Linked DNA regions of Neurospora crassa OR74A. The main gene of each other region encodes a partner of the protein of the gene in region 3 in a complex. Links are inferred from orthologs where the notes say so. Each region holds a gene or a part of one and is shown on either strand. Other genes may lie near its edges. The genes, in order: NCU09561, NCU02631 and NCU09261.

Region 1 (3,600 bases), on a different chromosome or scaffold from region 3:
GGCAACAGTCTTCCAGTTAATCACGTTCCAGATCGCCTCAAAGTACTCTGCCTTCCTGTTCTCATACTGCAAGTAGTACGCATGCTCCCACGCGTCAATGCCCAACAGGGGCACATAGTTACCAGTAACAGGGTCCTGGTTGGCACGGGTAATCAGCGCGAGCTTGCCGTTCGCAGCCTTATCCTTGGCCAACCACGCCCAACCCGAGCCCTGGATGCCGGCCAGCGCAGCATTCATCTGCTTGACGAAGCTCTCGAAAGAACCAAACTCGGTCGTGATGGCCTTGCCGAGAGCACCATCGGGTGAACCGCCACCCTCGCGCGAGGCGGGGGCCAGGTTCTCCCAGAACAAGGTGTGGTTGAGGTGGCCGCCGCCGTGGAAGTTGAGGAGAGGGGCGACCGAGGCGGCCTTGGTGAAGTCACCCTTGGACTCGGCCTCGGCAATGGTGGTCAGGGCCGAATTGAGGCCGTTGACGTAGGTCTGATGGTGCTTGGAGTGGTGGAGCTCCATGATCTTGGAGGAGATGTAGGGCTCAAGAGCGCCGTAGTCGTCTAGGGAAAGGAGAGTGAGTTAGCTTGGGGGGTTTTTCCTCAAAGCCGAAGCGGAGGGAGGATAGACTGAAATGAGGAGCGGGCATTGCAAAGCGAGCGAATGTTGGAGGAAAGAACTTACACTGAAGGTCGGGAAGAGTGGCCTTGCCGCGGACAAAGGTAGCGGCGGGCTTAACGGCGCTGGCGGCGCGCAGAGCGCTGCGGGCGACCGGAGTAGCGCGGAAGAGGGATGCGGACATTGTGACGGCTTGTTTATCGAGAGAAAGACTAGTAATTAGGTGAAGTGGTTAGGTCTTGAAGTGCGAGAAGAGGAAAATTAGATGATCAATGGGACGGCGGCTACCTCAGAGTAAGTGAATTGGCCGACTGATTGCGACTATCGGAAATGTCTCTTTCCATTTACTTATCTAATAAGCTCGGATGATGATGGAAGCTCCATGGAAACCGTTCCAACTAATTCCGTCATAGCCCCACCCCGCCGAGGGGAAGAGGTGGGTACCTCTATGGCTCGTGTGGCTGAAAGTGGAACAAGGAGCCGTCTCTGAGTGGTGAGTAAGCCACAGTGTTAATTGCGGTCTCTTGGCATGGCGGCGCTCTTCCTCTGTCGCGTCTCCCACTTCCAGAGCGCGTCTCCCCAGAACCTTGATTGATCTCGAAATCCTGGCGAAAACTTGGTTTGGGTCAGTTGTCCAACTCAACACTGTCCAACTCATCTCCAAACGCCAGGCTGGTCCAATTGAAGCTACCAAAATCACCACCATGTCATATTACGATATCGATGCGATCCTGACTGACGCAGAGGTACCCTCCATCTCCCTCCCCCACCATATCATCACCCAACGCCAAAACACCAACTAACCCGACGATCCTCCCCAGAAAATTCCTTGTACCTTTCAAATCGACGTCCCCGACCTTGGCTATCTCGACAACCAACCGGGGCACACCCTTAAGTCCGGCTCGCGCGTCGCTCTCCCCATCTGGCTGGCTGAAATGCTCGCCATCGCTAATACGGGCGCCGTCGACATGGACGACCCATCACAGTCCAGCAAATCCTTCATCACCTTCGACCTGCCCCCGGCACTGGGTAACGACGTTGTCCAAGCTTTGAAAGCCGACCCGCGCTCCGTGCCGCTGCGCGATCAGAGCGCCCACTTCTACGCCCTCGCCACGCACATGATGGAGTTGTCAGAGGAGCCGGAGCTGAGCGCAGTGTTAAGGAAAACGTTTGTCTCGAGGGCGGCGGAGATTGCGTTGCATGCTAGGAAGGTGGGTGGGGGCGGAAGTTCGTATCATGGTCGAGATGGCGGAGGAGCCGGAGGAAAGGGCAAGGGGAAGGCGACGAAGGACGATAATGCCAGCAATTTGGGCGTGGGAGGCGCTGGTGAGGACTTTTTGAGAGGGTTGGATGAGTGGGAGAGGAAGCTGTTTAGGAGTGCACATGATGGGACGAAGGCGAGCAAGGAGTGGATGGAGAATGTCAAGAAGAGGTGAGTGGAGTGGTACTGTTGGAGCGTTGTTGCTACCGCTGGCGCCCGATCGGTCTTTACCTCGCAACGAACCAGCGCTTCGGTTCAAGCATCCTCCATGATTCTCGGACTGCGCTCGATGCAGTATATAACAACAGGCCACCGGCGACCTCCCAAGTTCATTTACCATGACGAAGCTGTGGATCAGTCATTATCACGGCTCGAGAGCATCGGGATACCACGAAGGAGACAGGATTCTTGGGGGTTTAGTTGTGTCACCCTCCCCTGGAAGTATGGCGGACTTGGACTGCTATCGCCGGATGAGTATCCTACGCATCGCTGATCTTCACAGAGTTGTGCTGTCAGCGGCACAGCAGACCATCTGGCCTAATAATGAGGAAGACTCATGAGATATTAAGAGGACATGAGGTTCGGCACTCTCTGTTAACTCGGACTTCGTCAATTGGTGGGTGACTAGCGAGCGACATCGGATCCTTCATTTGGGTATACCACTATTTCGTCCATCACGGTCTATGGAATATTTAACAAGATAGCCGAAGCTCAAATTGGCTTGGCCGACGACTAGCCACCACCCTCACCCGCGGGACACTCTGGAGCGATCAACATGCCTCTCCTCCTTCTTAGACTCAGTTGCAGCAGACATGGCCCTTCTCACACGCCTCTTCTCCCGATTTTTCCTCCTCTCCTCACGGCTCAGCCTATTCTCCCCGTCCTTTTTGGCACGGCGGTTGAGACTCATAAGCATACCAACCTCGCCGTCAACCTCGTCAACATCTTCAGGCTCGACAGACACAGGCACAGGTTCAGAACGGCCAAAGATCTTGCTCAAAAGACTACCCAGTCCGAGCCCCTGTCCCTTTTCTGTTGCTGCATCCGGGTGGGAAGAGCCGGTGGGCACAGTGCCGTTGGATGCGGCAGCGGGAAGGACAGTACTATTCGAGCTGCGGCCAGCGAGAGGACCAGGGATGGTGGGCGTGTTGTGGTGATTGAAGATCTTGTGAAGGAGATCGCCAAGTCCAAGGGATCCGTGGTCTCCTTTGGTTGCCGCGTCTGGATGGGAGGCACCGCCAAGGATAGTGCCGTTGGAAACACCAGCAGGGGTTACGGTGCTATTTGAGGCCCGGATATTGAGAGTAATGGCGGTGGACGTATCATGGCGGCCGAAGAGGTTATGCAACAGACCACCTAGGCCAAGCCCCCCTTCCTTTTTGTCCGTCGAGTCAGGATGGGAGGAGCCAACAGTGCCATTGGAAGCCGGAGCGGAAGCAGGAGCGGTGAAGTTCGAGCTGCGGGCTTTGAGAACCGCGCTACCGGATGGCGCATCTTCTGTGATGAGGGAGGGGGTCGTCAGTGCTTAGAGCTTCCGGTATCTTGAGCTTGGTACTCGAGACTTACTCAGCGATCGCAAGGTGTAAAGGAGATCTTCAACATGAAAGGCAGAGACTATGTTGCAGGCAAGGAGAATGGTAATAGTGAAGTTGGCGAAGAAGCGGAGAGAGAGCGGATGACGCATGGCTCCTGATTGGGCTTGTACTCGCAGAAACAGGTGAGTCTAGCAAGCG
Region 2 (3,312 bases), about 6.4 Mb from region 3:
GGCATCTCATTCAACTTGGAATATTGCTTCTTTTTCGCAGCTCTTGAGCTAACTCATGAATCGTAGTTGTTGTATCTTTGCGCATGCCGAGTGCTTGTCCAATGGAGCAGCCCATCTGAAGTTGGAATTTGGCAACCCTACGGAGCCTAGTGTAGTCTTTCCTCGTCACCATTACCGATTGTCCGGTGCGTTATGGGCGGGTGGGAGTATCAAGGTGGTCCGAGAAGGTTGCTGGTTTCAACAGTTGATAGATTATATCGTGTTTGCTTAGCAATAGTTTATTGAATATTTCTTAACTGTTCAAGGGCTTAATGCTAGTAACTTTTGGACGTAGGGGCATGTAGAATGTGTGCACCATGTGCGAAGGCACTCCGATTCTTCACATGTATCTCTGAACTGGTATCGGCTTCAGGAAATGAGACGTTCGTTTCAAAGGTACGGTGGCCTGTACTGCGGCCTTTGCCCATGAGAAGAAGCATCACCCTTCAACTACCTCTGTACGTCTTGCTTTATGAATATCCCTATTCTTGTCGCCGACGTTAGTGAATGCCCTGACTGCACGTATGCCTTGGGACACGCCGTATGCAGCTGGTTGAGAGGGAATGGGACGAAGAAAATGTTCGGATACACGTACCTCTACTGCGTATTCTGCTTCGGGTTAGGGCTGTCCGAGGACTTTTGATGCCCACCCCGCGTTCAAGTGCAGTGCTTAGACCATCTTGTAGCGCCTATCTGCCTAACAACGCTTGATATGCTAGTGGCCATAGAACGGTTTCACATCCAGACGGAACCTCGAACTTCACCCGCCTGGCTGTTCGAGAAAACGACGCGACGTGAGACGCGTCAGAAAATAGACACATAGTCAATTCCACTATCACACCTTTCAGCTTCGAACTGTCCAAAGAGGCACTTAAGCCACGTCGAAAACATGCCCATGTACGGTGACTTGGGTAACAAACTGGTTTGTGCAAGCTCACTGCATCCTCCCTGGATACGAACACTCACACCATCACCAGGTCCAGCATGCCAAGAGGACACAGAACTTGAGCCATCTTCCACCTTATCAGACCGAGCTTGTCCGTGCAGTGGCCCGAGAAATCCGGGATCTTGACAAAGACGTCGCCAGTTTACTTGAACCTTTCCAGGGGTCATTTGATCCTTCCGCCGAACAGGCCACCGCGTGCACGCTGCTGGTCAACCACCTTTCAATGCGAAGGAACAAGCGCTGTCTGCTCGCCTATCACCGAATCCGAACAGACAAGCTCGAGGAGCTGGTGTGGAATGGAGCCGATATCCTCGACCTTGCCGGCCAGACGACAGGAGGGCCCAAGGGCGTGACGGAGGGCAATGAAGGGGGCGGGACCACCAGCAGTCTTAGTCCCCAGGAAGAGGATTATTTTCGACAGTTTGGAGATTTGTTGGCCCTCTACAAAGGCCAATGGACGGATATCGATCTCACAGGCAGTCTCGAACCCCCACGAGACCTTTTTATCGACGTCCGAGTGTTGAAGGATGCGGGCGAGATCCAAACCGAATATGGGTAAGCTACGCTACAGATGGAGGAATAGATGATGGCTTTGGTTCCACGCTAACTAACGCATGTCTAAAGGGCGATCAACCTGACAAAGAACAGTCAATTCTATGTCCGGCAAGGAGATGTGGAGCGTCTGATTGTGCAGGGATATTTGCAAAAGCTGGGTTGAACAATATCGACCTGGCATCGATGATTTGAGACCGGAGCTTGTTGCTGCAGACCAGCAATGGAAAACTGCTATCGGCAGCGGTTGCCGACAGGTTGACAGACCCCTCGCTCTTTCCTGACCATTGACGGCGTGGCGCCTTCCGAACAGTACCGGAGAGGGAGTGACGGACTCAATGGCTTCGACCAGAAGCCATATGCAATGGTCATTGATCAGCAGCTAGATGTTGGAGGGAGCGCAAAGGACCGACTCAAAAGGGTTGCGCCGCACACACAGAGCTGACCAGTCCTTGTACTACGACGACGGCCAAAGGTGACTTCAACCAAATATTTTGAGTCTCTGTGGGGCAAGGAGTTACCATCTACTTTTTCTCAATGGCTGGACCATTGATGAAGGTTTGAGAAGTGCTTGCATCGACAAGGGACCATGAGCCCACAACCAGACGGTAGCACAGTTTGTAAGTTGCGGGAAGGATGAGGGAAAGGTTACTTTGACGGCCAGACCATTGATTCAGGAACCCACACGGAATTGCCGCGGTGGACGACGGCCGAACGTCGAGGCTGGAGTGACAGCCAGCAAGGGGTTTCACAAGGCCCTTCAAATTTTTTCACCAACCAGTGGCCAAGTTTTCTGGCATGGCAACACTGTGTTTGTGGCGGCTGATAACATCCTTTTTTCAGTATATTGTTTCGTTGATGGCAGATACTGAGAATCAACCCGAGTAAAGAGAAGAGGTACTGACTAGTCCTTGATTTGTCAAACTACAGCTAATAGGGCCCATCTGAAGAAGGCGATAAGAACAGTCATAGGGTTATGTAAACTTTTGACCGTTATTGCCGTGTGCTCGCTGTCAGTCTGTCACACGTGGAGCTGAATGATAGTTACTGGGGTGCAGTGTTCAATTTCAAAAAAGAGAAACCAATTCGCACTGGGAAGGCTGCTTGGTGGAACAAGGATTACATCATGCAGATGACGCCTTTCCCTTCCACGGCCTCAACCCCACCATGGCCAGCTAAAACAACAGGTCCAGGCCATCCAGCAACTGCTAGGTAGTATCATTGGCTTTCAACTGATCAATTGAGACCATATCAGTTCTTGTTCAGTCTTCCTCCGGCGCTAGGTACGATAGACGCTACGACGCACGACGGGACAACATGGAAACCCCGAACCGTCGAAGCTTATGTACATACTAGTCATCAGATATCCCGCCCGACGAAGTCTTTGCAGGCGGGGCCAAAGAGTTCCGGCCGGATGCAGCATGGCGCGGTCGGTGCTTCTTGTATGTTGCTGTCGACAAGATTGCTCCATAGAATTTTGCTTCTCACCACCGGCCTGTACTCCTCGAATCGCCTCCAGCCGAGGACGGACCTTCTACGATAGCTCGGCCTGTCGTTATTTTTCTTTTTCATCATTCCTCTTTTCCCCCAAATTATCTGAGGATATTTGTCACGTTTTCTTTTCTTCGCGGACATCTACATGGTTACATCAGGTGCTGCTTTTTTTCTACATATCTTGAATTCTTTTTCTTACCTTCCTTCTTGTCCTTCCGCTCTCCAGCCACAGGACTTTGCTTTTCTGCACTGACGTGCTTCTTTACTCGCTTCCGCATCAT
Region 3 (2,765 bases):
GGGAGGCATTGAAGAGATTCAAAAAGAGTGGCCATGGCCGTCACTCGGTTGAATGGTTCTTGAGGCGGCGGTTAGGAGACTGTGAGCGGATGGCTAGTGGAAAAGGCACAGGACTACCGACGGGGACGACAAGACGGGTAAGGATCAAGAAACCAATAAATATGGACGATATCAAAACAACGGATGAAAAAGCAGGACCGCAAGGGTACTTGGTGGATTTTATGGCCAAATTGGACGAAAAGGTCGCGGTCAGGGACGGAGTATGTCTACATGAGGAAGATACGGAGAAAGAGGATGACGTGATATCGAGAGAGAGTGGGACAGATGATGAAAGGGAGATTGTCAAAGACGAATCAGTCAAGGACGAGGGGAAGCGCTGTGGTGAGAGAAAAGAGGCAGATCGAGAAAGAGACAAAGTCAACGACAACCCGACCGATATTCCGACGGCAGAAGAAACCAAGGAAAGACAGTCTAATGGTACAGAGGTTATGATAGGTTTGGACACGATCTCAATGTCTCATTCCAAGCCTCTTCCCAACCTCAGCAAACTTGAAGGACAGTCCATTGCCGCTAGGAGGAAAAGCAGGCAAATGACTGAGAATACAGGACCCTTGTACCAGAACACAGTACCAACTACTGAGGGAACCCTTCAAAGAAACATGGATGATGTCGAGACGTCAACATTGGACTCGGACTTGGCGTTGGGGGTCGATACAAGCGACGACTCGTCATCCGACGGCACAACGGTGCTTACACCAACATCAAGTAGCGCTGATGAAATGTCACCAGGCGATCCAGCTCCCAACGAGGCTCACATGTACAAGTTCATGCACTCCCCAAGAGCCTCAGATTCCGACTGGGGTCCTGAAAATTCTCAGTCTTTGTCAACAGAATGACTTGGCACTTACACACTCTGATGGTATCGGTTATTGGCGTAATTTGATAGGAGCTGGATGGGGGAAAAGGAAAGGCGTCACTTGTAACATGAAAGACTGCTATAGTTTGATAACTCAATGATATCACAGGACGTAATAATGATCAAGTCCAAACCTAAGCCTCATGCCACGATACGATGTCGTTCTCATGCCCGCCGTGTTGCTGTTTACATGAACTCAGGGGCACCCCCAACAAGACCCCTGTATTGCTGTAAGGTTAGGGGACGCAGCGGACATGGACGTCACTAAAAGCGGGATGGACCGCCCTCCACTGGATGATCGCCGTAACAGCCCGCCGAGCCCCTAAAAATCCGGGGTGGGATCTGCCCCGCGTTCGAGGCCTGAAGGGAATTTCCACACCAGAGATGGAAATCCCCGTCACGAAAAATGCGACAACTCTCTGTGTTCTCCTCCTCCTCCCTCCCTTGTCCCCCCTCCTCTTCAACCACCCATTGTGCCCGCCTCACAACCCAATTCACCGCAATTCACCTCCAATCCATAAGCCACAATGGACATTGACGACATCCTCCGCGAAGTCGACCCCGTCTCGCACCAGATCCCGCAGGAAACGCGCGACCTGCAAGACCTGACGCGCGCCTGGGTCGCCGAGCGCTCGACACCTGAACTGCTTCCCTGGCCCTCCAACGGGCTGTTCGAGCGCATCAACGACAAGATCAAGCGGCAGATAGAAAAAGTGGAGGAGATGACGGGCGACATGGATCCCAAGACCAATTTCGCCCTGATTGTCATCCAGACCGAGTTGGAGAGGTTCAAGTACTTGGTCAGGTCGTTTTTGAGGACGAGGATTGCAAAGGTATGCCCCCTCTGGAGCTCTTTACTTGCTGGGTCACTGAGGAGAATGCTGACACTTGAGAATTGGGTAGATCGACAAACACCTCCTCCACTACATCTCCAACGATAACCTCCGAACACGCATGTCGCAAATCGAAGAGGCGTACGCGCGAAGACACCAGCTTTTGTTGCACAACCACTACCTCAACTCCTTCCTGGGCACGTTCCCGCCCGCGATGCAAAACTTGAACGACACGGCGGGCAATATCAGCATGATTGACAGTCCTGACCTCGACTCGGCCGTGTTCATTCGCTTGTTGAGGGATGCCGAGATTGAATGTCATGGAGTCGATGTCGATGGTGTGCTCACGGGCAAAGAGGGGGATATTGTCATTCTGAGGTGGTCAGATGCAAAGGGATTGGTGGAAAAGGGGGATGCTGAATTGGTTTGAGGCTGCCGCCATGGTTGGATAACCTGTCTACAAACAATGAGGGCTGATGGGCTTCTGCTCGTCGGTATGAGACGATCAGGGAACTTGGACGTTGGCGGAAGCTTCATCTCCAGGACGTCACTCAACACCACCAAATCGACCGATCGACGACGGGAGTTATGGCGGAATTCCAGTGCTCGACCCCGTTAAACTCGGGCGATTGCTATACAGCCATCTCGTCGGTGTTTGCGGGACGAATATTGGGACCGGGTTTGCCAGCTTTGAAAAGGTTCACGCCCACGGCTACGTCGCAATGACGTGCGGGCGGTATGAAACCTCACGATGATCAGACGAACAGCATCAAAGACGACGACGAAACAGCAGCACCCGAGGACACACCGATAACAACGACCTGCTCACCTCCCCATCCACAATCCAACATTTTGCTACAGCGGGTACACCCGATAACCACGCATCATGACCACCGCCGCTGCCGCCGATTCCAAAACCATTGTGCTCATCACCGGCGCCACGCGTGGCATCGGCTTCGAAACCGCCAAACACCTCAGCACCTCCCCCGACCAAAATTACCACATCATTCTCTGCG

Evidence for each region.
Region 1: NCU09261 (region 3) and NCU09561 share a complex: the UniProt entries of both Schizosaccharomyces pombe proteins name them as parts of the GINS complex. The link is inferred for Neurospora crassa OR74A from reciprocal best matches to the Schizosaccharomyces pombe genes sld5 and psf3.
Region 2: NCU09261 (region 3) and NCU02631 share a complex: the UniProt entries of both Schizosaccharomyces pombe proteins name them as parts of the GINS complex. The link is inferred for Neurospora crassa OR74A from reciprocal best matches to the Schizosaccharomyces pombe genes sld5 and psf1.

What each region holds. Positions count from the first base shown.
Region 1 is NC_026507.1:996,216-999,815, reverse strand, and holds the start of NCU09561 (DNA replication complex GINS protein psf-3), read left to right. Parts: upstream 1-1,176; 5' UTR 1,177-1,310; coding exon 1,311-1,352; intron 1,353-1,427; coding exon 1,428-2,042; 3' UTR 2,043-2,612; coding exon of another isoform or gene 2,613-3,364; 3' UTR 3,365-3,433; coding exon of another isoform or gene 3,434-3,551; 3' UTR 3,552-3,600. Other genes in the region: NCU09560 (superoxide dismutase), read right to left, coding at 1-551, 673-818, 895-950; NCU09562 (hypothetical protein), read right to left, coding at 2,613-3,364, 3,434-3,551. UniProt on the Schizosaccharomyces pombe protein: The GINS complex plays an essential role in the initiation of DNA replication.
Region 2 is NC_026501.1:2,993,508-2,996,819, forward strand, and holds NCU02631 (DNA replication complex GINS protein psf-1), read left to right. Parts: upstream 1-747; 5' UTR 748-928; coding exon 929-961; intron 962-1,016; coding exon 1,017-1,540; intron 1,541-1,609; coding exon 1,610-1,703; 3' UTR 1,704-2,577; downstream 2,578-3,312. UniProt on the Schizosaccharomyces pombe protein: The GINS complex plays an essential role in the initiation of DNA replication.
Region 3 is NC_026501.1:9,371,089-9,373,853, reverse strand, and holds NCU09261 (DNA replication complex GINS protein SLD5), read left to right. Parts: upstream 1-1,443; coding exon 1,444-1,749; intron 1,750-1,819; coding exon 1,820-2,179; downstream 2,180-2,765. Other genes in the region: NCU09260 (hypothetical protein), read left to right, coding at 1-896; NCU09262 (hypothetical protein), read left to right, coding at 2,636-2,765. UniProt on the Schizosaccharomyces pombe protein: The GINS complex plays an essential role in the initiation of DNA replication. Has a role in chromosome segregation and is required for bir1 localization.